Linked DNA regions of Rhinolophus ferrumequinum. The protein of the gene in region 1 purifies or fractionates together with the protein of each later gene. This does not show direct contact. Links are inferred from orthologs where the notes say so. Each region holds a gene or a part of one and is shown in the gene's direction. Other genes may lie near its edges.

Region 1 (7,819 bases):
AATGTCTATATATAGAAAACTGGTGAAATAAATTGTAGTGTATACATACACAAATAATGGAATTCTGTGCTAATGTTAAAAATGAAGAGATAGAATTATACCTAATACATGGAATGATCTCCAAGATATGATGGTTAAGTGAAAAAAGTCAGGTGCAAAACAATGTATTCAGTAAACAATGTATTCAGTATGCTAGACTTATATAAATAAACAAACAACAATAGTTGAGGGAAGGGATGCTAATATATGGTTTTACTTGAAAAGACTGTCTCTGAAAAGTTACAAAAGAAACCGGTAACCGTGGTTCAACATGTGGTATTTCAAGGATTAGAGGAAAGGAGAGTTGCTTTTCATTCTTTTGTGATGTTTCAGTTTCTAGCCATGTGTGTAGACTAGCTACTAAAAACTTTTAAATAAGAATGTTCAAAAATAAACATCTTAAAATTAGTTTCCAAGGAGAGTGCTTTTCCAAACTCACTGGCATACTGTGAATTATCACTTTGTATGAGGAAAACTGGGGGGAGGGTATATGTCTACATAATGACTTGTAGAAGCATAGCACTATGTCTGATAAGGAGAATAGGGTGGCTGTGGATCTCAGTAGGAGACTTTCTACTGTTGATCTTTTTGTACCTTTTGATTTTAAAAAGTATATATAATAAAAATTAAAATAGTTGTTTTTAAAGTTTATTAGAACTGTAGAGGAAGTGGAAAGGAAAAGGTATTTTAGGAGTAGGAATAGCATGCTTGGTAAGGTCAGAGACAGCCCTAGTTTCAGGTCTGGACTCTTTCAATAGCTGTGTGATGTTGGGCAATTTGCTGAATCTCTGGGCCTCTTCTGTAAAACCCTCATGGGGATTACATTGAAAATATTAGATATAAAGCACATTTTCTACCATAGCACACATTAGGAGGTCAGCAATTGGTAGTCATTATTATATGGTGAATGAAATCTTTGTAATTCCAAAACAGTTGCAAGGGTTCTAAAAAAGCAGTACAGAGCAAGAAACTGGGACTCAGCTCAGTGTTGCTCTCTGGGCTGTGTAACAGCCCCATAACAAGGCTTTGGCACTGACCGAGATCAGTGGGAAGCCCAGGGCTTACCATAAAGTGACCCAAGGTGGCACAGTGCCACTTTACATCACCAATTGATTAAATGTTAATGTTTCTCACTCGTTTTGTGATTTCTCACAAGAGCTATGTCAAATGAACAAAGAGATTTTTAAAGTGTTAATGAAATAACAATAAAGACTTGTAAAATCCATAGAGCATCTAGCACTTGATCTCTTTTTTCTTTTCACATTATTTGTACTATAACCAATCTATTGGTATGTTATAAGGTACCTGCTATGACCAAATATAATTTCATTTGCTTCTTTATCGAGCTCATATTATTTGAAATGGCTAGCAGATCTCATACTATTCTAATGACAAACAGATGTATGAATCTGACTGATCATGTATCTATTGGTGAAAAACTCCAGACTCCAGATACGTATGCATCCTTTATCTCAGTAGTGCGTACATGAGTGTTATACGCAGTTTTGGAACTTCGATAGCAGATTATGGTACTTACAACTCTTCATACAGATATACACACAAACATTTTTCCATTGAAATTTGCTTTTCATAATTGCTAATGGCATATATTTTGCAGCATGAAATAAAATAATTCTAAACATAAATATGTTTTTGTGTCATTCTTCTTAACAAATGATAGTCTGAATTTGTTTCCTAGCTTGCATTAATAAGTTTTTTTCAACTCTGAACTTGATAAAGGCTGAGACAGAGGACAAGATCAGTAGCATTTTGTAATGACTGCTGTAATGTGATTCCACAATCTGAATTTTGACAGAGCTGATGAAAAGAGTGAGACTGTAGCCTCATAGGAATTCTGGTGCCGCGTTATAGGAATGGAAGAGCAGCGACCCTGTGAGGCAAAACCAAGTATTACACTCAGGTACACAAGAAATTCTTGATGCTTGCAGATCACAAAGGATTTCTGAAAGGGCACTTATTTTTATATCTGGATTCAGTCAACCACAGAACTCATATACTGTGAGCTACATAAGTTTACATACATGTTACTTCAATATCTTTTATTTTCAGGTTGACATGGAATATTCTGGCTCAGGCGGGGGAAATTGCAAGCTTTGATTATTTTGATAAATTACGCCCTTGAAAATTGACATACAAACAATAACCTTGAATTCTTTTGTTTTTGTTTTTTTAATCTGACTAGCTCTCAGTTACATTAATGTAGGCTGAGCCAAGAGTTTAGAGAAAATGTTAGGCTACAGTGGAGAAATATTAATACAAAAAAAAAACACAACAAAATCCTGAGACATTTTACATTTCATAAAGTAGATTCTGCTTTTAATGTTTGGTCTACCAGTTATTCTAATTATGAAGAATGAAAAAAAACCGAACTGCCATTGTATGTCTTTCCTCTAAGGAAACAATGTCATTGTTACTGTGGATGCGCATAGTACACAGACATGTTTTCTTAGAATGCTGAATAGGTTTCCCCTTCTCAATAGTTCATTAACCCAGCAATTCAATACTTTAGGGCCAATAATATTAGTACCTTGTTACATCTTTTCGCTGATTAAAATTTATGAAGGGCTTAAGTGTGCCCAATGATACATCAAGAGGACAAGTTGACCTGAAGTTATGAACATATGATCTGTTTTCTATTTTTCAAAATTACTAGTGAAGCATAACCCGTACTTTAAGTAAAAACATCTTAGCATGACTTTCCAGTATTTCCTCAAGCTGTCTCTGTGCTATCAGATTGAAGATTCCCCATGCTCTCCAGTATATGCTCTGTGGGGGGAGTCAATCACAGCATCTTAAGGTTCCCTGAAGGCTAGGGGTGCAGTCCTCATTAACCCCGCTGAGCTGTTTTGTTTTCTGCTGAACTCTGAACTAGTGGAACAAATATTTTGCTCTCTTCAGCCCAGAGTATTTTATTTCTACAGCACAGGAGATGTTAGCGATAGTATTGCTGAAAGATACATATATACGTGTGTGTATATATATAAAAAACATCTATTTATATACATATATGAACTCTATGTATATACATATATAAAATCTATTTAACTTGTATAAGAAGTATACATTTAAATGACAAATTGATTTAAATGGATTGCTGTGTAGTGTAACCAAATATATCGTCTCTTCAATGTTCAATTATTACCACAGTAGCACATATTATAATTCATCAGCTTTATTAGTCAAACAAAACATAAAAAATGTATGGCGGAAATAGAAACATTTTTGGTATTTGGTATACATCTACAGTGGAAGCTTCAATCATGGAAGCAACAATTAACATAGAGCAGTTAGGGGAACTGTGCTAGATGTGTTACATGCGCTATCTCAGGGATCAGTGAACTCTATAAAGGGGTGTGATAGTAAATATGTTCTCCAGCTTAGTGGGTGACACAATCTTTGTCCTAACTACTCAACTCTGCCCATACTGAGCAAAAGCAACCATAATTGAATAAGCGTGGCTATGTTCCAATGAAACTTAGTTTACGGTCACTGAAATGTGAATTTCATATAATTTTCACATCACAAAATATTATTCTTAAAAATATTTTTAAAAACAATTGATAATGTAATAGTTATTCTTAGCTGACAGGCCATACAAAAACAGAAAGCAGATTGTATTTGGCCGTGAGCCTATAGTTTGCTGACTTCTGTATCATCTCATTGGGTTAGTAGGGGTTTCCTGAATGACCAGGTATATATGGAGACTACACTGTCAAGTAAATGGGAAAGAGCTTTCTCACTAGCTTTCTTCTCCGCCCTACTGTCAATCACTTTCTGCCACGCTGCTGTCACCGAGACCGATGGGGCTTTATTCAATTGTGTTTAAGGTTAAAAGCAGCTCCTACATGTCTAAACTCTAGACAAACCAACTTAACTGCTAGCAACTGCAAGGATATACAACTGATTTGAGGGGTTGAGCTGGAGTGACGTGAACCGAATTGGGTGTTTTTATAGTTCAAGCGGCCTAGAATGAGGCCAAGCACCAAAGTGACACGTTGTTGCAGTAATCCCTGGAAGAAACAATGGAGATCTTGACCTGGCTGGCAGAAACAGAGGACTAAGAATAGTAGACATATTGGAGATGTATTTAGGATTAGGTTCTCACTTGAATAAGGATTCATTACAATGTTTTGTAACTGTTTTACAGGATAAAAGAGATTGATGACACTTCAAAAATAATTTTGAAAGTGCTACCTAAATTTGGTTAGGATAGTATATCAATCATCTCTTTTACGTTTTAATTATTAATACCATTTTAAAAAGTTACAGGATCTCATCATTGTCTGATTTACTGATTTCCTACCCCAAATGAAGCATAACATTTTTATTTTTCAACATAAAACTCAGTTGAAAATACTTTTTCTGAACCACAAAAAAAAAAAAAAATTCTGCATTCACCACGCTCCCAAACCGGGAATCAACGCGTGGAGACACTTTCAATTTCCAGGCAATTTCCAGAGGTTTATCCTGTTCGCTATAGCGGTATCCCACCGCTCCTCCGCTCCCAGCGACACTCCTGGACCCGCCCCCGACACTTTCCTCTTAGGTGTACAGCTCCCACCGCCCCAATCTCCCGCCTACTCGGGTAGCTCCGCCTCCTTCAACTCAGCTTCCCACCTCCTTCCCTTCTTCCGTTGCTTTCCCCTCTCCTACCTCTTGGCTGCCTTCTATTGGCTAAACTGGCTGAGCCGCGGCAGACATGCCCCAGACCCGAGTTCTGATTGGCTGAAGGGTTGCGGGCCTCTCGCGATTGGCTGATAAAAGCAGACAGCAAGTGTGACTGCGCTACGCGGTGTGTTGATGCCGCTTTGTTGCCTGAGGGGGTCTACGATAGTAGAAGTTAAGGGGGTCAGGAGGCTAGCGCTTCTCAACACCTGCAGTCACGGCCTTTGCAGGCACGTCTCTGGGTAGTTTTCATCGTAGGAGTCGCGCCTACAGCAGCCATGAGCGGCGGCGTGTACGGGGGAGGTGAGTACAGCCAGACTAAAGAGCAAGCCGTTTTAGCGTGCGGGGTTTACAACCGCCGTCCCCAGCCCTCTCCGCTTCACCCCTCCACGGTGGTCTCTTCCGGTCCTCAGTTCTCGGGAGTCCGGCCTTCCCTCCCCATCCCCGCCCGGCTTTCTCGCCGCCCTCGGCGCCCACCCGGCTCACTGAACGCCTCGGTCTCCTGGAGTCACCGCATCCTGCGGTCCCTTCCAGCCTCGGTCCTCGGAGGAGCGGGTTTGGGGGATGCGCGCCGGCCGCGGGGATGGGACGGCAGCTGCGTCCTGGGGGCCGGCCCACTGAGCCTCGGCTTGAGTGACCTGTCCCAGGGTCGCATGTCTCCCAGTGTCTCCGTAACTCTGCATGTCGGGGTGTGCGCGCGTGTGTTTAAACTTGGGAAGTCTCTGCAGTTTGCGGGGGGGTTTCCGCAACGCCCGGTAGATGGCAAAGCGAGCGCGATAGGTAGAAGTGATTGGAAGAGTGGCGGCCACTCAGGACGCAGCCTGCTCTCGGTCCGCGCTCAGCGCTCCTGCTGCCTCACGCCTTTCAAACACTCCTGCGTTTTGTTGACTGGATTGTCCAAGTTCCTCGTGCGCGTGTCCGGGATGAATTTGGGAATACAGGTAATTTAAGAATGCTTTCCTTGGGTAGGCTGCGGTGTAGTAGAAAGATTACCAGGGGCCTGGGAGTCACACAGACCTGGGTTGTAATACCAGCCTCACCATTCGTTTAGCGCTTTGGCCTTGGGCAGGTGACTTTAAGTTTTCTCAACTTCAGGCTCCTCATTTGTGGAATGATAATTCCCACCCAGTGTGTGCTTGTGAAGGTTAAATGAGATAATAGTACACTTGCTCCTCAAAGTGAGGTCCATGAATCAAGAGTTCAGCATCCCCAGCAATCTTTTGGAATTGCAGAATCTCAAGCCCCACTGTAAGACTACTGAATCGGAGCCTCCGTTTTTACAGATTACCTAGATGAAACACAGATGTAGATGATTTATATTTTGTGTTCGTGTTTGATGCGTTAGAGAACAGGAGACAAATCCTGTTATTGTGTCTAGTAAGGATGCTGTTTCTGAAAAGGATGGCATTCTATTGGTAAGAAATAAAGTCTTCAAAATTCCTAGTTTTTGGAATGTAGCTTGAGTCTCTTCTGAGACGGTAGACTGACCCTCATTCCCTTTATACCCGTTTATGTTCTTCGTTTTGATTTCTCAAACATGAGAGTACATATTCCCATTTTACTTTGGAGAAAGCCTAGTAGGTCTTATTGATTTACCTCTTCCCCATCTGAAGATGGAGTCCTGACAGGAAAACCGGATCTGTGTCCTTTGCCTCCTGGAGGCTGTTGACTCTATTTTGACTTTCAGGTTCACAGATCCAAGGACCCAGAGGCTTTGCACTGAGTATTTCCTTGCAAGGCATTATTTAATATGACGAAGGTAGAAATGGATACTAGTAACGCCAGCAGCTAATATTTGTTGAATGCATACTGTGTACCAGGAACTGTTACAGAGGCTTTTAATGCATTGCATTGCATACTTGGATTAACTCAGTTAATCCACAACAACTATAGGAGATGGTACTACTATTCCCATTTTATTGAATGAGAAAATGAGGTACAGAAAAGATTAATAAGCCCAAAGAACAAGAATCTTTAGAATGAAGAAAAGGCATTTCAGTAAAAATCTTTACCATTTAAAAAAGATTTTTGGTTATTTTTCCATAAGTCATTTTTCAAGTATATAACCACAGCATATTCATGTATGATTCAGGTATTCAGAATTAATATCCTCTTTCTCAATTGCTTATGTAAAGGAATAAGTCTTAAAGCTTATTTCACATATGAAATAGTTTAAACTCACAAAAGTAAATATATGATTTTGTGTTTGTGCTATCACTGTATGTATGACAATTATTTATAGTCGGTCACATTTTCCAAAGGGTTTACTGTGGAAAGCAACCAAACCTCCCACCTAAATTTTGTAATTAACTTTGTAAAGCGTATTGTTAACTTGTGTACTTATTAAATGAGTTTAAATTTTAGTTTTAAAATTTTGAAATTTACGGCTGTCTTTTTCCTATAATTATTTCTGACCAGATCAGACACTGATCTTTAGCTCGAGGTATAATGCATAATTCATCCAGATTTCTGTACTTTCTAACTGGTTTCTGGGCCTACTCATTGCTCTTCCAATCATCTTTAATGCTTCTCCTCTACTTCAGACTCCTTTGCACGATAAACAGGTACGCTACCCACCCAACTTTGATAAATTGTTAGTTTCATCATTTCTGCACCCCTAAATCTCTAACCTTAAAATTTCTTCAAATCATCTTCCTCATGAATTGGGAGACACTATACAAAAAATAAAAATAAAACTATCTCCCTACCTCTTCCCAAAATCATTACTGCAGCCTCCAGTATTGTACTGGAATGCTTTAAGATCAGGTTAGCAGATTGCCACCATTGCTTTGTGCTTTCCCAGAAAAATCACATCACCCTTACACTTGAAAGCCATTTACTCTGGGGGGAAAACATCAAAACTGTCAAAAACATGGAGACGCAGCATTTTTAGTATAAAAGGGAATAAACCCTTGAGGGTTTTTATCTATTAGATTACATCCTAGTTTTTAAATATCCAGACTCTTGAGGTGATAATATTAAGCCTCCTATCTTTATTTGCCATTCTCCCATACGTTGGTGCTTGGTTTTTAACAAAACAAGGTACAGGAAACAGATGTATCTCTCATGCTTGAAAAATGGGGATATCAGCAGA
Region 2 (7,558 bases), on another chromosome or scaffold:
AGGGGCTGCCAACCAGATGCACAGGGGTTTCAGACCAAGCTCCCAGAAGCTTCACATAACTCCTGGATCAGGTTTCAACTGACTTCCCGTGTCTGACTTTAGCTGGGAATAGCATCTCTAGATGCCCTGGTGGAAAATACACAGGTGTCACCTGGGAGGGGCCCTCACCCTCTCGCATCAGCACCTCAGCTGGTTGGTCTTCAAGGGCTCTGAGGGAATGATATAGGTTACATAATATCCATGGGGAGGCTGGGTGAGGACCCACACAGGTTGGGCACGGGCTGGGGTGAAGGACAGGTCAGAAAAAAAGCGGGGAGCGCAGGGTTACTGTGGGCAAGGCCAGGCTGTGGTGCTGAGAGGGGCCTGGCAGAAGGGCACCACTCAACTAGCGCCTGTCACCTGGCTGGGCGCAGACTTCCTGGTGGAGAAGGACCAGGAGTACTGTGTGTGTGAAATGCCCTGCAATCTGACCCGCTATGGCAAGGAGCTGTCCATGGTCAAGATCCCCAGCAAAGCCTCAGCCAAGTACCTGGCCAAGAAGTTCAACAAGTCTGAGCAGTACATAGGGTAAGTGCTCTGCCTGCAAGGCAGGGCCCTTGGGCTGGGCCCGCGAAGGGTGAGTGGGCTTTGATGAGGTCTGGCAGACAGGAGGAAGTTGGGTCTGAAGTGGGCGTGGAGGAAAGACCCAGGCAGAACAAGCAGGGAATGCGCCTCTTCTTCCTCCTCACCTCATGCTCTGTCTTCATCCTCCTTGCTGTAACTGGGATCACCTCACACTTACCCGTGTGCACAGCATCTTTTCATATCCGCCATCACATTTAATCTTCACAACAACCCTAGAAGGCAGGTACCCCCATCAGCATCTCATGTGATGGATCTGAAGACAGAGATTCAGAGAGGATAATTTACCAAGGTCACCTAGCTAGCAAGGGACAGAGATGTGACTTGAACCTAGGTCTCCTTCCCCAACCCCTTTGCAGGGAGAACATCCTGGTGCTGGACATTTTCTTTGAAGTCCTCAACTATGAGACCATCGAGCAGAAGAAGGCCTATGAGATTGCAGGGCTCCTGGGTGAGCTGCTGATGGCACCTGTTCCCTTCCCATGTCATGGGCATGGTGTGACACCCTACCACCCAAAGCAGGCTGATCACGTCTGTCCCCAGCCATCCCCAGGGGCTTTTCCCCAAATTCTGCTGTCTTGCTATGTGGTGGGGGGAAGGGGCTGAGCCTTCTTTTAGGGCAAAGTGGAAAAGATAGGCCTGTGGGCATGAACAGGGGACTATTTCATATGCCCTTTAAATTTTGCCCAGAGATTAAGAGTGTTGGGTATTTTATAAACAATTATTTTTTTCCTGAATAGTACCTATTCATTTTAGAAAAGTAGAAAAAGATGCAGAAAAGCATAAAGAAAATAAAACCCCCTCTCAGAATCTTTGCACTCCTTCTATAAAAAAGCTGTCGATCATTTTGCAATTATGACTTGCCTGCCCGTTTCAGTGAGCTCCCATGGTGTCTTGACCCCACTGACCTCCCTGTGCCCCCTCCACACAGGTGACATTGGGGGCCAGATGGGCCTGTTCATCGGGGCCAGCATTCTCACAGTGCTGGAGCTCTTTGATTACGCTTACGAGGTGAGCAGGGGCGGGACCAAAGGGGCGGGGATCCAGGCTGCCCACACACCCACCCACCACCCCACCGTGTCCCAGGTCATTAAGCACAAGCTGTGCAGACGAGGGAAGTGCCAGAAGGAGGCCAAAAGGAGCAGCGCGGACAAGGGCGTGGCCCTCAGCCTGGATGACGTCAAAAGACACGTGAGGGAGCCAGTGAGGGGTGCCCTCCGGACCCGCCCCTTACCCCACCACCCCAGGACCACCCCTCCCCCGTGCCCCAGCGCCACCTGCGGCCCTTTCCATAACCAGTTCCTGTCCTGTGCCATTCCCCCAGAACCCGTGTGAGAGCCTCCGGGGCCATCCTGCGGGGATGACGTATGCTGCCAACATCCTACCTCACCATCCGGGCCGAGGCACTTTTGAGGACTTTACCTGCTGAGCCCTGCAGGCCACTGTACCAAAGGCCTAGATGGGGAGGGCAAGGAGAGCAAGGGGGCCCTCAACTGCCCCCCACATCTGCCCTGGGGACCCACTCTCCTTCCCAAGGCAGCCCCCCCGCTCCTGGGCAGTCCTTTCCTCCTGTGTGTGGTGAGGAAGGAGGCTTGACCATAGAGTCCTCTCCCTGTCTCTATCCCTTTCTTTTTATTTTTAACAAAACTAATCTGAAAAAGAAACTGAAAAGAGAACTGGGCAAGTGACCTCAGGCTGCCCCTCTCTGCTCTATGCTGCCTCCCTCAGCTCCCAGCCTGAATTCTGTCTGTCTGGCTGTCTGTCATCTGAGTGTCCACCTACATTCTGCTGCCACCAGTCACCAAAGCCCCCTCCCAGTGGGGGGTGGAGGGGATCCTCTGGGTCTGGAATTTGACCCCAAACCAGAGAATGTACCATGAAGGGGAGGGATAGTGGTGGTGGGGGGGGCTTCCCCAGCCTTAAGAGACCCTCTCAGCCCAGTGACTACCCCCCCAACCCCAAGTCTCCAGGCAGGAACTAAGACCCTAGTACCTACCCCCCCACACACACACCATGTGAAGTCACTAGGGTGGTGGGGGTGGGGATCCCCTGAAGCAGTGGAGATGGGGACAGTGTGTGGCCCTGGTGCTGTAGGCCACATCCTGATATCTACCACCCCAGAGCTGCTGGAGAGAAATCCCAAGAGGCATCTCTCCTCTACCATCCCCTAAAAGATCCAGCTGGTTGGCTTCCAGCTCAGGGAGAGGGGCGCTGGTGCCTAATCTCACTGGTCCCTCTCCCCGGGGCCCCTGCAGAGGGCCACATCCATAAATTTTCTTATGGAACTGTCTCAAGTCCTCTTCCCCAACTTCATTTGCTTCTCTCCACAACCTCATCTGCATTTTCTATTTCTATATGATACAGACTCTATATTGCTATATCTCTGTATATACTTTCCCCTAACTGTCCGTCTCTACTCCATGCCCTCTTGTCTCTAAGAACCATCCTCCCACTCCACCCTTCCTGTGTTTCTGCTCCCTCCCTGGTTTATGAATGCCTTCGCCTGTATAAAGAGTTGGACTCTCTCCCCTGGTGTCTGTACTGTGTACACACATCCCTCTGAGAAGCACAAGGAGACGACACGCGCATTGTAACCTTCGCACTGTCTCGGTGGCGACATAAAGGAAGCTGTGAATCACAAGCTCTGCCTCTTTCTGGCCTCACCCTCTCCCCACAACCTGGGTACCCTCTGCCCCCCCTGCAGCCTTAACATCCCCTTTCTTGCTCTATCCACCCCAAAGTCCTTTGTGTGGCTGACTGTGGCCTCTCGGGGGAAGGGATTGCTACCGAGAGAGCCCCCACCCAAGGAATGGAGACCTGCTCTGCACACTAAGCCAGGGGTACCAGAAACACAGGGAGCTGTGGACCAGTGACCCCTTCAGGTAGAACAGCAAGCGCTGACAGGCAGACGCTGAGGTCCTCAGTCAGTGGCCTTTCCCTCCTGGGTGCCCAGCCCCTTTCCTAACTGGATACCCAAGCCCATCACTTACATTTTTTGGTGAGGTATGGTTTGGTAGTGGGAGGAAAGACACAGTCCTAGAGGGGAAGTTGAAAGCTCTGCTGTTCTGTCCCTCCCTAACTTAAACAGAAAGGAGTGAGATAGAGGGCCTGCCACGCCCCCTCCACCAGGCAGTTCTCCCAGGCCAGAGCCCTGTTCCTTCCCAGGCTTTCTCTGCCCAGCTGTTTCTTGGTCTCTCACCCCAGAACTGGACCTGTGGCAGGTCACCTGTGCAGGCCTGGAGCTGGAGAGTGAGGCTCTAGGATCTTTGGGAACTCTTAGTTCCTAGGAGTTCTTTAGAGAGCAGACCTCTCCAGAGGAAAGCAAGAGCAAGGCCAAGGGGTGTGCACCGGATGGAAAACAGCAGGCAGGGCTATGGGTGACGCATGCCTCTGGTCTAATAAACTGGATTTCAACCATCTCCTTTTCAGTGTCCTTCTTCTCTTATTTGAATAGTATTTAGGCGTTCCCATTAAGAGCCTAGAGCTGAGCTTGGCTTGGAGCCAAACATTCACAGGAGGAGTAAGGCTTGAGCAGGGAGACCCTGGTCGTCCTGGGATGGGACAGGCTGGACATCACACCACGAATGGTTTGAACCACTGGACAGTGAAAGAGGGAGGGGTCAAAGGCAACAAATATCCCAAAGAGAAGTCCTAGCTCAAAGGGTTCTTTGGAGTGAGGGCAGGGGCAAAATTCAAAATAAACTTAAAATCTGGAAGCAGGTTCGGTTAAAAGTCAGGGACAAAGTTGGGTTGAAGTTCTAGCGTGAGGTTAGTTACTGAGGCACTTTATCTGTGGAATGAGCCCCAGGCTACGAGCCTGAAGATCTGGATTCTAGGCTTTGACTTTACTGTTCACTTGTTGGTTGACCTTTGCCAAGTCATATACTTACTCAGTTCAGCTTTCCCATTTGTAAAATGGATTAAACAGTACGTTTTCTTCAGTCTTCCTGGCTTATAGCAGTAAGAGAAGGAAACGAAAAACAAAGCGCTTTGGAAAATTGATCGCACTACGCAAGATGAAGCAGTTATTCCACCACCCTCTTCATCAGGACGTTGGGTCTGTGGCGGTGGCACCCCTTTCCAGGGCCTGTGTTCCTCCCGTCGGCCTGGGGGCGCCCGCTCACAGGGCCTCTCTATCCCAGAGCTCGTCTCTATGGTTTTGCCTTCCCGGACCGTGAAGGCGGGAGGGAGTGGTCAGCACCCTTTTCCGCTAGTCGCCCCCCTCTAGCCCACAGTCTCGCTGCCCTGAGTCTCCCGTGCCGGCCGGCCGGCCGGGAGGACTAGCGGGCTCGTGGGGGGCCCGAGGTGGGCGGGGGGAGTTCCGGTTCCGGTTCTTTGTGCAGCTGCAGCAGCGGCTCCGGGGAAGATGGCGGCCCGGGCGGGTTTCCAGTCTGTGGCTCCGAGCGGCGGCGCCGGAGCCTCAGGAGGGGCGGGAGCGGCGGCTGCCTTGGGCCCGGGCGGGACTCCGGGGCCTCCCGTGCGAATGGGCCCGGCGCCGGGTCAAGGGCTGTACCGCTCCCCGATGCCCGGAGCGGCCTATCCGGTGAGTGGGGCGGGAGGAGGGGCGCGCGGGCCGGGGGCGGGGCCGAGCGGGGCCCTGGGAGTGACAGCGGTGGGGGGAGGAGTAGGAGGGACTCCCCGGAGAGGGATTCGGGCCCTGAATGGGGGTGGGGGAGTCAGTGAGGAGGAAGGAAGGGAGGCAGTTAGCATCCCCACCTGCTCCTAGGGGCATTGTTTCCGTGGGGAGTCAGGGTATAGAACTATGGAGGACGAAGTGGGGCGGAGGGTGGGCTGATGAGGGCTGGAATGCAAAAGGGCTTGGGCAGCTCCAGTGCCCAGAGGAACACACACAAGGTAGCTGGCAAATTGAGGTCAGCTTTCAAGGAAATAGTACCAGGTAGTACTGAGTAAATGTGGAACTAGAGGAGATAGAGGAGATGTGCAATGTGTCAGATACAAAATAGATTAGGGAGAATTTGAGTATAATCTGGCTCTTAGCTTTTGGGCTGTATTCTCTTACAGAATCATGACTGGAGCAGAGGAAGCTCCAGTTATCTGTAATTCAAAGAGGCAGAGGGCTCTTCTCCCATTGTGCTCCACTGCCCCTCTCCCCCTCCCCCAGCCTTGTTTCATTCAAAGACCTGAAGAATCCCCCCACTTTTTCTTTCTTGGTGGGTTTCGTAGGGGAAGCCATGACATCTCTGGGTCCTCTCCCCTCTGTAGAGACCAGGTATGCTGCCAGGCAGCCGAATGACACCTCAGGGACCTTCCATGGGACCCCCTGGCTACGGGGGGAACCCTTCAGTCCGACCTGGCCTGGCCCAGTCAGGGATGGACCAGTCCCGCAAGAGACCTGCGCCTCAGCAGATCCAGCAGGTCCAGCAGCAGGCGGTCCAAAATCGAAACCACAAGTAAGATGACCCCAGGGAGGAGGGGAAGGAGAGAAGGAAGGGAGGGAGGGAGCCTGTGAGAACTCAGGTGGTGGGAGTATCTGAACCAAGAAGTAGTGGTGCTGTGTCAGCCGATGGTGCTTATTCTTGAGAATGCCTCATGTTGGTTGGGGGTTTGGGGGTATGTCTTTGATTTGAGAGAAGCTTTACAGTCCTTTCACTTTACTATAAATGGAGGTGCTGACAGCCTGTCTTCATGTTCTGGCTAGTTCCATCCCAACCTGATAACAGTATTTGTTTTGAAACAGTGCAAAGAAAAAGAAGATGGCTGACAAAATTCTACCTCAAAGGGTGAGTCCAAGCTGTAGGTCTTCCTGAGGGTGTGGTGAGTTTGAGAATAGAGATGGCCAGCTCTATATCCCCATGATATCTTTCTGTTCCTAAGATTCGTGAACTGGTACCAGAATCCCAGGCCTATATGGATCTCTTGGCTTTTGAAAGGAAACTGGACCAGACTATTATGAGGAAACGGCTCGATATCCAGGAGGCCTTGAAACGACCCATCAAGGTAACGCCGGAGCGCACTAGGCAGAGAGCCAAAGGAGAGGACTTGGGAACGTTCAGTAGGCTTAGGATGAGCAATCAAAGGCACAGCACAGTTCTCCTTGGCATTTAAATTACATCTTTCCCTTCCGCCTACGAACTGAGAATTATATTAGAAGTATAAGAACAAAATAGCAAAGGGGGAGGGGCTTTTGATATCGCTTGCACCAGAAATTTACCCTGTCCGTGTTTTTGCTATAACTGCTCTACCACCTTGGGAACCTGGCACCTTGCTTGACTTTGTCCACCTGGCATCTCAGTGTATGCTCTTGCACTCAGACCAATGGCCTGTATTCCTCTTCTAGATGGAATCTTCATCCACCCACCCCAGGGACTGGGTAGACAGTGAGCCAGTCTGTTAGGAGTAATTTTGGGGCTTGGGGAGACCCTGTCTTCAACATCAAACCGTTGAAGCCCCACCATCAATCCTGTTTCTGCCTTCCTCAGCAAAAACGGAAGCTGCGAATTTTCATTTCTAACACTTTCAATCCGGCTAAGTCAGATGCCGAGGATGGGGAAGGGACGGTGGCTTCCTGGGAGCTTCGGGTAGAAGGACGGCTCCTGGAGGATGTGAGTTCAAGGTCCACTGTGGTCGGCGTCTAGGGTGGGAGCTGCTGGGGACAAACAGTGTTGTGTGGTTGGCAGGAAGCCTGACTGGTGCTCACAGCTCCTGTTGGGAACTGCAAGGAAAGGGTCACTGTATGCCCTGTGCTAAAAGACAATGGTTCTTTGTGTTGGTTCCCACAACTTGGCCCTCATTGTGGTATCACATTGAGAACCATATTGTCCTGGGATTTGATTTGTTGTTTACCTTCCTCCTGATGCTACTGGCCGTTAAATTTAGCAGTATGTGCAGATTATTCTGAGAGAAAGAGAGAGAATGAATGAATTAAAATGAATATGAATGTGTGTGTTTTAAATCAAGTGAGTTTGCACTTAGCGTT
Region 3 (7,097 bases), on another chromosome or scaffold:
CCTGAGGAAGCTAAGGGACAGGGAGGAACAGCGACTTGCCCAAGGTCACACAACTATTTTGGTGTCCTATTTTTCCTTTGTTTTTTACTTCTTTCTATCATACGTGTTTCTCTTGTGTGTTTGCAAAACTGACACAGAAAGGCGAAGTCTCACAGAGGAATAGACAGCCCCCTCCATAGTAGCAGAGGGTCCTGGACCCAGAAACATTCTCCCACAAAGAGGAAGAGACCCGGTGCTGCTCTGGCCTGGGAAGTAGTGAGGGGTGGGGTGGAGGAAGTCCGTGCCACCAAGCCTCTGGTCTGTTCTGCCAATGTCCTTTCTGCTGGCTGGAGGAAGCCCCTCACTAGAGGTGGGGGTTAAGGGACAGACTCCCCTCCAGTCATCTCTGGGCGCTGGGCCTGGCCCCATTGGCTAGCCAGGGTTCCCTGGTGTCCCAGGACTTAGGCTGGGGCAGAGCCGCCTCTGGGCCCCCTGGCTTGCCCTGGGGTTTAGTGATCAGAGGGGAAAATGGGGGCTGGCTTTAGGGATGGGCCAGATCACTGAAATCAGGGGTCCTTAGCCTGAGAGCTTCCCTCTCTCTCTCTTTCTCTCTCTCTCTCTCTCTCTCAACACACAAACACACACGCCAATCCACGAAGGTAATTCCGTTTCGCCAAGGAAAGCTTTCTTGCTGGGAATAGAGGAAAAACCGGGCAGTGCAGAGGTCTCTCCCTTCAGCTGGCTTTCCTTTGTTCCTCCCCTGCCTTCCTCCCTCTCCCCTTCCCAGCTTCCCTCTCTCCTCCTAGCTTCCTTCTTCCATTCTCTCCTCTTACTCCCCTCCTGCTCCTCCCCCGAGCAGGGTCCCCGCAATAGGACTTCCACAGAAGGTGGGGAGGGTGGGACTCCGGGTTCCGGCCCCAGCCTCGGTGACCATCTTCCCGCAGGGAAGGAGTTAAGTCTCCTCGCTGCATCCCTCCCTCCTCCGCCTCCCCCTGCCACTCCGAGTCCTGCAGCTAGGCCCTGGGCTGACCTTCACCGGGAGGGAGGCCGCAGTGCGCATGCCCGGCCCGGTTACTGCCCGGCTCCCACCGCTGCCGGGGCCCGGGCGGCCGGGCGAGGGAGGGCGGTCGCGGGCCGGGACGTGCCCCCGGCGCTCGGCGCGGTGGGGGGGCTGCCGAGCCTGTCCCGCCGGCCGCGGCGCATCTCTCCCTGCGCGGGGAGCGGCGCTTTGCCATTTGGTGCCGGTGGTGCTTCGGCGAGGGAAGGAGAGATGGGGGGACGGCAGGGGGGACTCCGGCTCCGGGCGCCTGGCGGCCGCCCTCCACCCAGACACGCACATGGCCTGGCCAGAGCGCGCCCTGGGCCGGGTCGGCCGAGGCTAAGGGGACTGGGACTAAGGCCCCCTGCCCGCTGGAATGGGGCATACCCGGGGCCTCCTTCCCACCCGGCAGGAGCCGGTGGCGGGGCACTGCTGAGCGCCCGCCGTATGGGAGCTGAGCCGTTGGGGATCCTGGCCTTTGTGAGGTGGGAGTCCTGGCCGGGCACCCACACTCCCGCCTCTGCTTTCTAGCCCGAAGGCTCCCCCGTGACCACACCCCTGAGGTCGCCCCTGTAAAGTCGGCATGCAAACGGGACTGCGGGCGGGTGCCTTGTGAGTCTGGCCTTATGAGTGGGATGTGGAGTTGGTTAAAGTGTGCCCGTGAGTGCCGAGCCGGGTGGCTCCTGTCCCCTGGTGTTTGCATTGGGGGGAGGGGGCGGGGCATGTATGCATTAGGTGCTGCATAAGGATGTCTCCCAGGGGGGTGGCTGCAGGGGAGGCCCTGGTCCTGGGGGGGTCTCAGGAGGGGGTTATCTATGGACTTGAGTGATTCTCACCAGCTCCTGGTTTCACCATAGCCCTTGGTCTACACCCCTCCTGCAAACTCTACCACCAGCACCACCTCCCTCACAAACGCTGGGAGGGTTCCACCCTCAAACTTACCAGCTACCCAAGCTGGGGTGCCCATCTGTCTCCTCTGCTGTCTTCTTTTTCCAAAAGGCCTATCCAAGAGTTGAGAACTCTGTGCTTCACACAAAGCTAGGGGAGTGTACCCCTGCCCCAGCCCTCTAGAACCTCCAAGGCCTGTAGTTTCACAGGGCCATATGAGAAGCACCCACAGGGGGTGGGGGTGCCGTGGTGACTCCCACCTTCAGGTAAGTGGCAGACTATGAGCTCCATCCACTGGCCCACTGAGCTGTGGGCGGTTGCAAGTATTAGCAGACCTTTGGTCATGTGGACTCCCTGTGTCCAGGCATGAGGGGGGAGTGGGATGTAAAGGCCACTCAGGGGGCCACAGCCGATTTGGGAAACCAGACCTACCACACCTGAAGCACAAAGCATATCAGACATGAGTCAGCCCAGTGCCAATTTATGGCTCAGGATAGGTGGCAGTCGGCATTCAGATAAGAGAAAGATCTGTGCACACAAGTGGGACCAGGGAAGGCTTTCTGGAGGAGGCCTGAGCTGGGTTTTAAAGGATGAATATGATCTGGGCAGGTAGATGGGCAGTAGAGGGCATTCCAGGCAAAAGAATATCTGGAGCAGAGGCTTAGAAATGGGAATAAGTGAGGAGTTTTGTTTTGGAGATTAGTGGACAGACTGGAGAGATTACCTCCCCAGGTTGCCAGCAATCACAGCCACCGTCATGGCTTATGCCAACCACCCAACCATCCTCAGTGCCACTCCAGTGCCCAGCCTTTGTGTGTGTGGGTCTGGGCTAAGGCCCAGGTAGAAATTTGGTAGAAAGGGGATCTCTAGGTCCCCTGCTAAGGGAGCAGGAGGGAGGTAGAGGAGGGGCACCCTGGACCACATGCCCCCTCTGGCCTTTCAGAAGATTCACTGAGGGCCCTTACATGGCCAGGGAGCACACCAGGGCTCAAGGGAAACCGGGCTGCAGGCAGAATGGCCTCCCCAGGCAGAACACTGCCTCAATTCTTTGTCCTGACCTCTGAAGGCATTTTGAAGGGTTGAGGGCAAGGACCCCCAGGGCAATGCTGGGTCTTTCAGGCCTAACCTCAAATAAGTTTTCCTACAAATTACCCCTGGCATTGCCCCACCACCACCACCTGGATTCTGACAGTGCAGCCCCAGGAGGCCTATAAGCTTGACCCACGGTTGTCCCCAAAGGAGGACAGAGGGGTGTGGTCTTTAGGGGCATGGGCAGGTCCAGGGCTCCAAGCTTGGGGATCTCAGGACTTGCTCCTCCTGTTTCCTGTCTTTCCTTCACCCTGGGCTGCCAGCTACCTCCACATCGCGTTTCTGAGGCTCCCTCACACCTCCTCCCCTACCCCAGTGCTCTTTGGGGTCTTGAGGCTGGCCCCACTATCCCCAGGAGCCCCAGCTCCTCTAGGTCTCCCACCCCACACCCTATTCCAAGGCCATCAGGCCCTGCTTGCCTCATTCTGTCCACCCATCCACCGAAGCACCCACCCCAGCTCCTTGCCTTCCCCCACATTTTTCTCTTCCTGTTCTCATGAGCCTGATCCACCTCCCTCTTTCCAAAGTACATCCCCTATTGCCCTCACTTTCTCACATAGAGACAAAGACTCACAGACCCAGAAATAGACTCACACGGAGCTGGAAGACACGCACCCACACGCGCGCACCCGAGGCTCCCGTGGAGGGAGGCACACAGAGAAGGCGTTTGTCTGTGCACGCACGTAAACATCCACACCCACAGCCACCGCCGTGCCCACACAAGGATGGAGACACACTCGGCCGGCGAGACAAGGGCGCACACATCTGTGAACGCAGGGGGACACCGCCTCCCCGGCACACCCACCACTGCCGCCGGTGGGAGGAAGGCCTCGTCCCAGCTCCGGCTCCCCCCATTCCTTCCAGCGAATGTTTCCCTACTTGGCCTGCCAGGTCTCTGGGGAAAGGGCCTCAGAAATGCAGCAGGAGCCACTTGGGGCAAAGTTGGAACTGACTGTTCCCTGCCTGGCCCTGCCGGCGGATTCCCTAACCGAGAAACTATTTGTGGCAAGAGCCGGGTGGCCGGCGAGCCCCCTGCCACCTCCCCTCGCGTCCCCTCCCCGCACCGCCTCCCGCGGCCCTCGGGCGGCCTCGGCTGCAGTGCCGCTGCCCAGCGCCCAGGAGCCGGCTTGCCGGCGTGCCTTGCGGCTTATCTGCGCTGTTTGGACAGCGAGGGTTGGAAAGGCAGGCTTTTTTGTCCCCGCCGAGTCAACAGGCAGACCCCGGGCCGCCGGACTATTTCTGTCTTATCAGTGCAGGAATGCGGCAGCCGCGGCGGCGGCGGCGGCGTGGGCCGTGGGCCGTCGGGGCAGCCCTGACGGGGCCCCCTCCCCACTCCGCTCGAGTAGAAGTGTGAGAGAGCCCAGCAGGACTCAGAGGGGAGAGTTGGAGGAAAAAAAAAGGCAGAAAAGGGAAAGAAAGAGGAAGAGAGAGAGAGAGTGAGAGGAGCCGCTGAGCCCACCCCGATGGCCGCGGACGAAGTTGCCGGAGGGGCGCGCAAAGCCACGAAAAGCAAACTTTTTGAGTTTCTGGTCCATGGGGTGGTGAGTGGGGGAAAGTTAGCGGGGGAGGGTGAGCGAGCTGGCTCGGGCTGAATGGAGGGATGATTGGGAGGGGCCGGGAGGGGGCTCGCTAGCCAGGGCACCACGTCCCGCGGCCCAGCCCCAGGACTGTGCCGGCGCCCTGGCCCCCGAACACGTCGTCAGGCGGCCGGCAGGAGATGGGTGCCCTGGCAGGGAAGGGAGGCGTTCGCATGGGTTCTTGTCAGGGGCTGTGGGTGGGACTTGGGGACTGTCCCCCCCAAGTGGGGGGGTCCCATCTGTACCAGTCGTATTTTCCTCGGTTCTTTCCCTTGTGGGCCCAGGTGTTGACCCTGCCATGGGGGTGGGGGTGGGGGACATGGCATGGGCTGGGCTGTCTGTTCATCGTTGGGAGAGTGTCTCTCTCTGTGTCTCAGGAGCAAGGAGCAGGTGACCCCTGGAGGGCTGAGAGCAGGAAGCTCTCTGGCTGAACAACCTCTACATCCAGTCAGGAAGGCTCGGGGGCTTTGCTGATGGCCTCTGACATCAGGGTCAGAGAGAGGCTCTCTGTAGGGACAGACCCCAAAGTAAGAGGTCTGAGGATCCCCTTGGCGGACTCAGCCACCAAAACCGCTGTCCTTAATACCTCAAAGGTGTGAAGGAAGGGCTGGAGTCAGGGACGCGAGGCCTAGAGACCGAAGGGGAAGGACAGCACTGTCCAGGACTTGCTGAGGGTCTGGGAGGCAGCTGGGCCAGGTTGGAGGGGAGTGGGAGAAGCAGGGACGCTAGGACTTGGGATGGGTGCTGGGGTTGGCATAGTGGAAGCAGTCAGGTTTCCTCTGGCCAAATTTGGTTGTGACCCCAAGGAAGGCACATTCTCGGTGAGGGAGGCCAGAATCCCTTGCATCCTGGCCCTTCATTGGGGGTGGCCCTGGTAGCTGCCACAGCTCCCTGGGGCCTCTTCAGCAGATCCACCAGTATCGCTGGCCTTGATATATCATACAGCAGCTGATAAGGAAAATGGGCTTATTTGGGGTGGCCTGTCCTCCAGCCCGGAGGATCTTTGGAGTAATTTCCCAGGGGTGTCTGTGTTGGTCAGCCGAGTGACCAGTCCTAACTTTGCTGCTTGGGTGGGATTCCCTTTAAAAAGGCCCATCTAGGAAGGAGAGATGCTGTACATATGAATTTTTTATTTGGCCAACTTAGAGCTTCAATTCTTGGGTGGCTGTGGGCCTCACTGCCCACTCCCAGGGCCCCATCTATGCCAGTGGGGAATGATGGGACCTGAGCTCCATTCTGGGCCACCATCCTAGAGGTGTGAGTGACAGGGTCAGGTGGGCGGGGGGTGGAAGACACATGGACAGGCAAGTTTCACTGTGGGAGAGATGGACAGAGACAGCTGGCTGGCTGGGGGTTAGGGTTAGACAAACTGTAAGGCGGGAGGGAGAGTTGGCAGATAGAAGGCATTCACCGGGCTCAGGGTCAGGGCTCCTCATGTCTGGGGGCAGCTGCAATCCTAGGGGTAAAGGGGTAGTGTTTAAATGATAATGGGGACACAGGGTCTGCATCCCTTGCTCCCTAATCTCCTTCCTGCTGTCCCTGCCCCAGACCCCATCTTACCCACCCTCCACTTTAGAGCCACTCAGGTCCTCTCCTATCCCTTCTTCTAGAATTTGGACAAGTGGGGTTTAAAAAGTCTGTGGAACACCTCACTTGATGAATTTGCATCTCATCTGCATCCCCTCTGAGCACCTGGGTAGTGTCAAGGGAATACACCTGCCTCATCTCCTCTCCATGACCCCCTTTGAACCCTGACTGGTGACCTCATTGGGGTGAGGTGGGAAGTAGAGGAGGTCTGTGGATGGGACCATCTCTGGTGAACCAGGTGGACAGCAGGAAGGGAGAGATGGATCTAAGAGGAAATGCAGCTGCTTTTGACCTACCCAAGCCCTCTGGGCAGTTCACCTCCAGGTGGCTCCTCCCCCCGCCCCCCCCCCGCCCCTCCTCCCAATCAGAGAGTCTTGGTGGGGTTTGACCTCAGCCCCTCAGGTTGTCTCCAGCCCCACCTCTAGCCTCTACCTTGGGAGCAAATTATGGGAGTGAGCCGAGTCAGAGAAGCCCCTGGTTCTGGGGGCTTGGAATCAGCCAAAGCCAGTAGGGGTGGGGGCTGAGAGTTCAAAAGTAGGCGCCCAGAGAGAAGCGTGGGGTGCGATGGGGAGGGAGAATGCAAGGCAGGGCGGCCCAGGAAGTGGATTGGGAAGCAGGGAATGGGAAGAGGAGCGCAGGAGTCCCAGCTGGGAGCTCAGCCCCAACCTAGGGGAAGTAGCAGACAGCAGAAAGCCCTGGCTTCTCAGGAACCAGCCGCTCAGGGCTGCCTTTGCCAGGAGCTGCGTGACCTTGGCTAGGTCGCTTTTCTCCTTGAGCCACGGTTGCCTCATCTGTCAAGTGGGATGGAAGGACCTGCTTAATCTGTCTTGCAGAGGAGCGTGTGAATGTGCACATCCTTTGAAAAGGTTGAAAGGAGCCATTAATATTCATTTTCGCGGTACCTTCCGCAAATCCGACGCTGGCAATGCCCTGTGCAA
Region 4 (7,428 bases), on another chromosome or scaffold:
ATTGCAGCGTTCTAGAACTGAACCTGCAATATCTCTGAAGTGTGCCTGTATTTGTATACTGATCTTTTATCTTCCAACCTTGTTGAACTCATTTATTAGTTTTAATGGGATTTTTTAGTGGCTTGCTTAGGATTTTACATATAAAGGTCATGTCATCTGCAAATAGAGGTCATTTTACGTCTTACATTCCACTTTGAATGCCTTTTATTTTTTTATTTATTTTTTCCTACTTGCCCTGCCTAGAACCTCCAGTACACTGCTGGATAGAAGTGGTAAGAGCAGATACCTTTGTTCCTAATGTTAGGGGAAAAGCATTCAGTCTTTCACCATTAAGCATGATATTAGTGATGGAGTTTTCATTGATGCCCAGGAGTTCTCAATGTCAGGTTGAGGAAGTTCCTTTCTATTTCAAATTTGTTGTGTTTTTATCATGAAAAGTATTGGATTTTGTCAAACTTTTTTTTGTGTTTTTTTCCCTGCAGCTATTGAGATGGTCGTGATTTCTGTGTTTTATTCTATTGCTATGAAGTGAAATTCAAATCAAATGGAAATAGTATTAGAGAAGAAACAGCTGACCATAGGAATGTTGACACTGATTATTCTTTGAGAGACTCAAGATACACAGCCAGAGGAACTTAGTGAAGCCAAACATCCACATAAATGAGGAAACTGTGAAAAAAAGTGATGAAGACATCTCAGAGGAGATGATACCTGTAAAAAGATTCACATTACAAGTGCAAAGTACAAAATGTTGGAAGCTGATCCAAATTTAGAAAGGGGTATGAGAATTTGACAAGCCCAAACCAAAAAAGCCTTGCTCGTAAGTTATATAATGAGACATTCAAACTATTGTTAATTTTTTCACCAAAATATACCCACATTAATTCTCAATTTTCTAATGCTTTAAATTATAATGTACTAAATAAATTTAATTTTACTGTGTCCATTTCCTTATATAATGATAACCGATTGGGTTTTTAATGTTTTGATTAAAAAAATTTAAAGGCCATGGAATAATTGTAATTTTCCCCATTGATTATTAAGTTTACTTTGTACAGTTTGTACTTGGACAGTAATTTTGATGGTATTGCACTCCTATGCTAAGAGATAGAATGTATTTTATTGTGGCTAAGAGATAAGGTGTATTTTATCATGGCCAACAAATTATTACATATTTAGACTTCAGTAGGTTTTAGAGGGACGTCTTCTTGCTTTTGCTATTCCCCGACTATCTCTTCTCAAATAACTCAGTCTTAAAGCCACTAGGTAGAGTAGAGCAAGGTAGATGTAAGCATATTAGGATGGGTTAGCATTCCCGTGTAGGAGCCAGTCCCTACCTGGGAGGGTAGCCCAGCATGTAGATCCGTTACAATAGGTGAACTGTTAATAATAAGTAAATATAGTAAGGATAATAGCAGCCAGATTTTTCATTGTTAGAGAAGGAAGTTACATTTAGTTAAGTTTGCATTTAGTCAAATTTGGAGCCATTTGGGTTTGTCTGATAAAAATAAATGGAAATTTAAAGGAGGAATGGGATATTTACATACTTTCAAAATACCTCCCCAGAAAATACCAATTAATTACAGAGGCATAAATGATAACTTCACAGTAGAGAAGCCTGGCAATTACTCTCTTAACCAAGTCATCAGAGTAATGGAAGAAATGAAATCATACAAATATATGGGGATGGAAGGAGAACTGACTCTGATTGGTGAACACACAATGGGATTTATAGATGATGTAATTCAGAATTGTACACCTGAAATCTATGTAACTTTACTAACAATTGTCACCCCAATAAACTTTAATTAAAAAATTAAAAAAAAAAATCATGAGCCACTTGATTGTATGAAATGAAAAGAACACAGTATGAAGAATATCAGCCAAACTCAAACTGAGGAACATTCTACAAAATAACTGGCTTGTAATCTTCAAAGTTGTCAATGCTGTGAAAGTTAAAGCCTAGGGACCAGTCCAGATGGAAAGAGACTTGAAACTTGACCTAATGCAATGCATGATTCTGATCTGGAATCTTTGCTGCAAAGGAGGTTCTAGGAGCAACAAGAAAAACTTGAATGGGGTCTGAGGACAGTTTTAATGTTACTGTGATTATTTTGTAAAAGAATATACTTGTCTGTAGGAAACTTGAGTGATGGGCATGATATTAGCAATATACTGTCATAGTTCAAGAACAGAAAAAGTTCTTTGTACTATACTTGCAACTTTTTGTAAGTTTGAGATTTAAAAATAAAAACTTTTAAAAAATGATGTAACCATTTTATTTAAAATGTCCATTTTTATAATGTGCTCTTCAATGATTTAATTTTTGATGAAAATTTTTAGATATTTTTCTAATATAAAAGGTGTATGGTTTTCCAAATTATTTTAGAAGTTATTTGAGCATGAAGTTGGAAGAACCACTGCCCTGGAAGAACCAACTTCCCTATGACTCCAGCAAATGAAAGAGCTTTCAGAACTACTCCAATGCGTTTTCTCTGCTGTACTCACATGCTATTACTAGAAAACACATTGTGCTTGAAAAGAGAGGGAAGTAGTACTCCAGGGTGTAATTCCTGGGTTCAAAAACCTGACTCTAATATGTACTTGTTAGCCAGGTACTTAACCTCTCTCTGCCTCAATATCCTAATCTGTGGGAATGCAGGTGTACTTAGCACAAAGCACCACACAGAAATGCACCGTAAACCCCAGCTATGATCATTTCTAAAGTCTGAGCCCTTAGAGGGCATGATCCATGTCTTACTCATATGTTAATCTCATTGCTTCTCATTCCTAGACTATTTATCAGGTCATCTTTTCTCCAGTGTTTTTTCCTCTGATCTATCATTCACTGTTGCAATTGTTATCTTCCTAATCTGTAAATCTGATCATGTCATTCTCTGTTCAAGTTGGTTTCCCAATTTTTACAGGATAAAGTCAAAATTCACTGCAACAAGCGAAATCTCTGTTTCCATCCCATGTTTAAGGAGAGTTCCACCAAGCATGCTTTCACACTTTAATGGCTTTGTTCTAGTTGTTTCCATGCATCTGAAATGTTCCCATCACATTCTATTCATTCTTAAAAGTTGGTCTCGGGCAGCCAGATGGCTCAGTTGGTTAGAGCACGACCTCTGAATAATGGTGCCCGGTTCGATTCCCACATGGACCAGTGAGCTGTGCCGTCAACAACTAGATTGAAGACAACAGCTGCTGCTGAGTTTCTGGAGGGGCCGCCAGATGGCTCAGTTGGCTCAGCTGGTTAGAGCGCAGGCTCTCAATGATGAGGTGGCGGGTTCAATTCCCACATGGGACAGTGGGCTGTGCCTTCTGCAACTAAAGATTGAAAATGGCAACTGGACTTAAGAGCTGAGATGTGTCCTCCACAACTAGATTGCCCTCCACAACTAGATTGAAGGACGACGACTTCGAGCTGATGGGACCTGGAGAAACTGTTCTCCAATATTCCCCCCCCCCAAAAAAAAGTTGGTCTCAAAAACTCACCAGGCTTTCTCAGTCACCTTCTGTTGTAGGGTTTGTAGGGTCATATAGTGTTACGTTCATAAATCCATAATGGCCAATCATACTTTGTTAATAATGTAAAACCTTTCCACCTCTCTCTGTAGATCATTAATGCATTCATCAAATATTCATTGAACAATATTTATTAGATAACAGGCTCTGTTCCCAAGTCAAGACTAGATTTTCCTATAATTTATGTAGACGATTATTAAGAAAAATACCAAGTGGCGGTGACTGCTACGCAGAGAATGTCAATTGAGTATGATGAGTTGTTCAAGTGTATGGTCAGGGATCGCTTTTCTGAAGTATCTTTACGCTATGAATTTGAAAGCGCCTAAGTGACAATGAGAGGGGAAATGTCGCAGGTCGCAGGAAGAGCTGCTGGTCGTGGGAACAGCTGGTGCAAGAGGCAGGAATAAACTGGTGTGGCAGGCACCCAAAGAGCCCCTGGTGGTCGTCCCCTGGGCTGGTTGTGTGCAAAGGCTGACGCGGCAACTTAAGTGTGTAGAGGGTCTGAGAGCCACAGCTGGTGCAGGTACGTATTCCTGCGAGTGGGTTCCTCCGCCAGCATGCGATACCCTGAATGGGCTTTCCCTTCGAAACTTCTCACACCAGCCCTTTCCTCTCCGGCGGTGGCAAACGATGACACAGAACCTTCACGCAGTTGCTGACCGAATAAGGATCCGACAAAGGAATCACGAAAGATCTAGTCGCGCAGGGGCCGAGACTGGGGAGCAGACGAGAGCAGCCAGCATAGACTGGCGGAAGAAGTCGGAGGAGGTCCGAACCCGAAGGCCCCTGGCGCGAATGCTGCGCATGCGTATGCGCGTGCAGACGTCAGTTAGGGCGCCGGTCCGAAAAAGGGCGGGGCGAGCCATCCGCACCGGAAGGGGGTTGGCTGGGCGGGGCCGGGAGGCGGCGGTGGCGGCTACGCGCGCGCGCGGGTGCGAACGGGGAACGCCGCGAGGGCCGGGGCGGGCCGGGCTGTGGGCACGACGGACGGCGACGATGGCCGCGGCAGCGGGCGGCGGCGGGCCGGGGGCAGCGGCAGGAGCCGCTGGTGCGGGAGGCGCGGCGGCGGCTGCGGGCCTGGCGGTTTATCGGCGGAAGGACGGGGGCCCGGCCAGCAAGTTTTGGGAAAGCCCGGAGACGGTGTCCCAGCTGGATTCGGTGCGGGTCTGGCTGGGCAAGCACTACAAGAAGGTGGGTTCGCGCGCCCGTGGGAGCCGGGAGGCCACGCGACGGAGGCCGGGGGCGGCTACTGGCCTCGCGGACCTCGGGCTGCCCCTCCCCCCCGCGCGCCACGAGGGACAACAAAGGCAGGCGCCGGGCTCGCCACGCCCCCGCGGTCAGCTCTCGGGGCCCGCGGGCGCGGGGGTCTCCCCCGAACCCTCAGGGCCCTGCTCTTTGGCGCTCAAGCATCCCGGGCGAAGCCCCTGTTCCCCGAACACGAACAGTCGAGCTCAGCAGCCCGGAGGGTGTGAATCTCTTTTGTTAGCTGCCCTATTAGGTGTGTGAACAATGATTGTTAAAAACAGCTTGAACCAGTGTGTAAAAGCAGCTTCGTTTTGTTTAGAGACTAGTCTTCCAAGTCAAGTGAGGTAACTAAGGTCTTACTACCTGTTGTTGATTTGCTAGAGAAGGAACATGGACGATTGTACTCGGAAGGTAATAGGTTAATGTAAGGAATTACAGTATTGATGGGAACTCGCGTTAAAAATTGACTGGTTTTACGATATAGTAGTTTTAGTTATGTATAGTAGGAGTAAAAGAGTTAACGTTCACTTGTACTTGAGGGTTTCTCAGTGAGGCCTTCCCTGAGAGCCCCATGTGTATTAGATCACCCCACTTCATGTCATCTTTATTTTCTTCGTACCACTTTTTATTTTTTTCATTTCATTCTGTTTCTCCTTCCTTTGGGATTTAAGTTCCACCGAGTCGATGGTATTGAAAGTTGTGACTTAACCCCTTGATTATAACAAATGTTTTTTAACTTCCCCTTTATGTAAATACTTAGGACTGACTCCTTTACACGGTGAAATGAAGCACACAGCTAGAAATACTCCTTCTGCCCCCAAGTTTCCGTAACACCCTTTTCAGTTCTGTATTTCCCTATTGAAGACCATAGCACTGGGGCAAGGAGCTTATCAGGCCTGTCCAATATACAATGTGTCCTTGAACATGGTTGGTACTCATTGCCTCGCCCTTAGTAGTTGCTTAGTAAATACTAGTTGAATGAATGAAAAGATAGTACTCTAGGAAGCTGTTCATTTGGGGTCTACAGCAGAGTGAAGCCTGTTGGCTTTGAGAAGTCCTTATGCACGAACAAGGGATCTTGGGTTCGGTTGACATTACACTGTGGTACTTCCAGAAATGACGATTTCTTATCTGAAGTTTTAGGAAATGAGAGAGAATATATATTATTATTCACAGTATATTTTTAGATGTTTTGATTATTATTTCCCCCTGAAGTTTTGGAGTCACATTTGGGATTGTAGATTGATTTTTCTCTTCTGTATGTAAGTATGTAAGTAAGAGTATTGTTCTCTCTTGTACAGTTAAATTGGTCACTTTTTTGTGTAGGCAATAGAGCTTCTGGAAGTGGCTAAGGTAATTGAACATATATGTAGTCGATATCTGTACCTATACATATAAAATGAGAGTATTATATTTTATCCTGTTTCCTTTAGCTAATGCTTTGGATCTTAATTTCAGTGTCCCTTAACGTAGTTATTTTTTCCCACAGTCTGGATTTTTTTCCTCCAGTTTTACTGAGTTACAATTGACATATAATATTGTATTACTTTATCAAAGGAGCTTTAACAAAGAAAGGTACTCAGGAGTAATATTTTTTTGGATTATCCCTTTGTGACTCCCATAGGACTGTTTTACTAAATCAAATATCAAGGAAGGGAGAAGAAAAAGGGAAATAATTTCTGCTTCTCCAAAGTCCGTGTCCATCTGTTGGATCCCAATCTTAAGAGAGCAGCTTGAGGCTTAGATAACCAGCAGGTTAATGTTGGTTCAGTGTCCCTGAGGCCTTAAGACAAAGTCAAAGTTAGGTTTGATTTCTCAGGGTTTCATAAAGCCAGACTGTATTTCTTGGGTCTACTCAGATTCAGAATTCAATCTGACAGCCGGAATCCTATCAGTTTCTGAGAGTGTTGTTGGAGTGGTGAAAGTATTAACAAGACTGTTCTTTGCTGCTTTTGTACACACTGTATCTCTACTTGTACACGTTGATGGGTTTTAACTAAACTTTTCTATTGCATTTAATACTGAAGTTTCAGATTGATCAATCTCAGCAAATAGATGAAATAAGCATGACATCGGTAGTCCCCTTTTATTGATGGGTCTGTCCGTGCAGTCAAGTGAACTGAGCATCTACCATATCCAGGCACTTAAAACGTAACTCACTGAAATCCTCACAACAGTCCTGAATGATAGACATTATTTACTTTATATTACACATGAAAGGAACCTGAGGCTCCCGATTTAAGTAACTTCTCTAAGATTGCTGGTAGAGGTGGCAGATTTGGGATTCAGTGAATCCTGCCTGGCTCCAAACCCGTTTTCTTTTTTGCTACACATCATTTCTCTTTGAGGAACTCACAATGTGGAAAAGATAGACATAGACACCTACCCAGGTGATTGCAAATTAGAAGAGAACTTCGTTGTATTTTCATTTTCTAAGTGCCCTTAGTAGATGTTCAGTAAATATTTGTTTAATGAATGAAAAGGTGAACTAGTTTAGGAACCTCTTCATTTAGGTTTTGTAAATACGTTTGGCTTAGCAACACGGAAGGGAGGTGAGTACTTTTTGGTTGGAATGAATTTCTGGTCTGCCAAAGAAGTCCAGAGGAGGGGACCACTTTAGATAAGAGGAATCCGAAGCACAGGGAGGTTAACTGT

What was found.
Region 2: the proteins of ACTL6A (region 1) and SMARCD1 purify together in Homo sapiens (affinity purification with mass spectrometry; 8 studies listed by BioGRID and IntAct, with this or other methods). This does not show direct contact. The link is inferred for Rhinolophus ferrumequinum from reciprocal best matches to the Homo sapiens genes ACTL6A and SMARCD1.
Region 3: the proteins of ACTL6A (region 1) and SMARCD3 purify together in Homo sapiens (affinity purification with mass spectrometry; 3 studies listed by BioGRID and IntAct, with this or other methods). This does not show direct contact. The link is inferred for Rhinolophus ferrumequinum from reciprocal best matches to the Homo sapiens genes ACTL6A and SMARCD3.
Region 4: the proteins of ACTL6A (region 1) and SMARCC1 fractionate together in Homo sapiens (co-fractionation; 8 studies listed by BioGRID and IntAct, with this or other methods). This does not show direct contact. The link is inferred for Rhinolophus ferrumequinum from reciprocal best matches to the Homo sapiens genes ACTL6A and SMARCC1.

What each region holds. Positions count from the first base shown.
Region 1 is NC_046285.1:64,535,531-64,543,349, reverse strand, and holds the start of ACTL6A (actin-like protein 6A), read left to right. Parts: upstream 1-4,819; 5' UTR 4,820-5,003; coding exon 5,004-5,028; intron 5,029-7,819.
Region 2 is NC_046293.1:50,883,119-50,890,676, forward strand, and holds the start of SMARCD1 (SWI/SNF-related matrix-associated actin-dependent regulator of chromatin subfamily D member 1), read left to right. Parts: upstream 1-4,539; 5' UTR 4,540-4,987; coding exon 4,988-5,164; intron 5,165-5,844; coding exon 5,845-6,032; intron 6,033-6,319; coding exon 6,320-6,362; intron 6,363-6,456; coding exon 6,457-6,579; intron 6,580-7,061; coding exon 7,062-7,184; intron 7,185-7,558. Other genes in the region: ASIC1 (acid-sensing ion channel 1), read left to right, coding at 414-567, 981-1,072, 1,553-1,632, 1,708-1,812, 1,946-2,050. UniProt on the Homo sapiens protein: Involved in transcriptional activation and repression of select genes by chromatin remodeling (alteration of DNA-nucleosome topology).
Region 3 is NC_046309.1:3,660,564-3,667,660, forward strand, and holds the start of SMARCD3 (SWI/SNF-related matrix-associated actin-dependent regulator of chromatin subfamily D member 3), read left to right. Parts: upstream 1-4,078; 5' UTR 4,079-4,458; coding exon 4,459-4,536; intron 4,537-7,097. UniProt on the Homo sapiens protein: Involved in transcriptional activation and repression of select genes by chromatin remodeling (alteration of DNA-nucleosome topology).
Region 4 is NC_046300.1:8,039,031-8,046,458, forward strand, and holds the start of SMARCC1 (SWI/SNF complex subunit SMARCC1), read left to right. Parts: upstream 1-4,420; 5' UTR 4,421-4,524; coding exon 4,525-4,719; intron 4,720-7,428. UniProt on the Homo sapiens protein: Involved in transcriptional activation and repression of select genes by chromatin remodeling (alteration of DNA-nucleosome topology).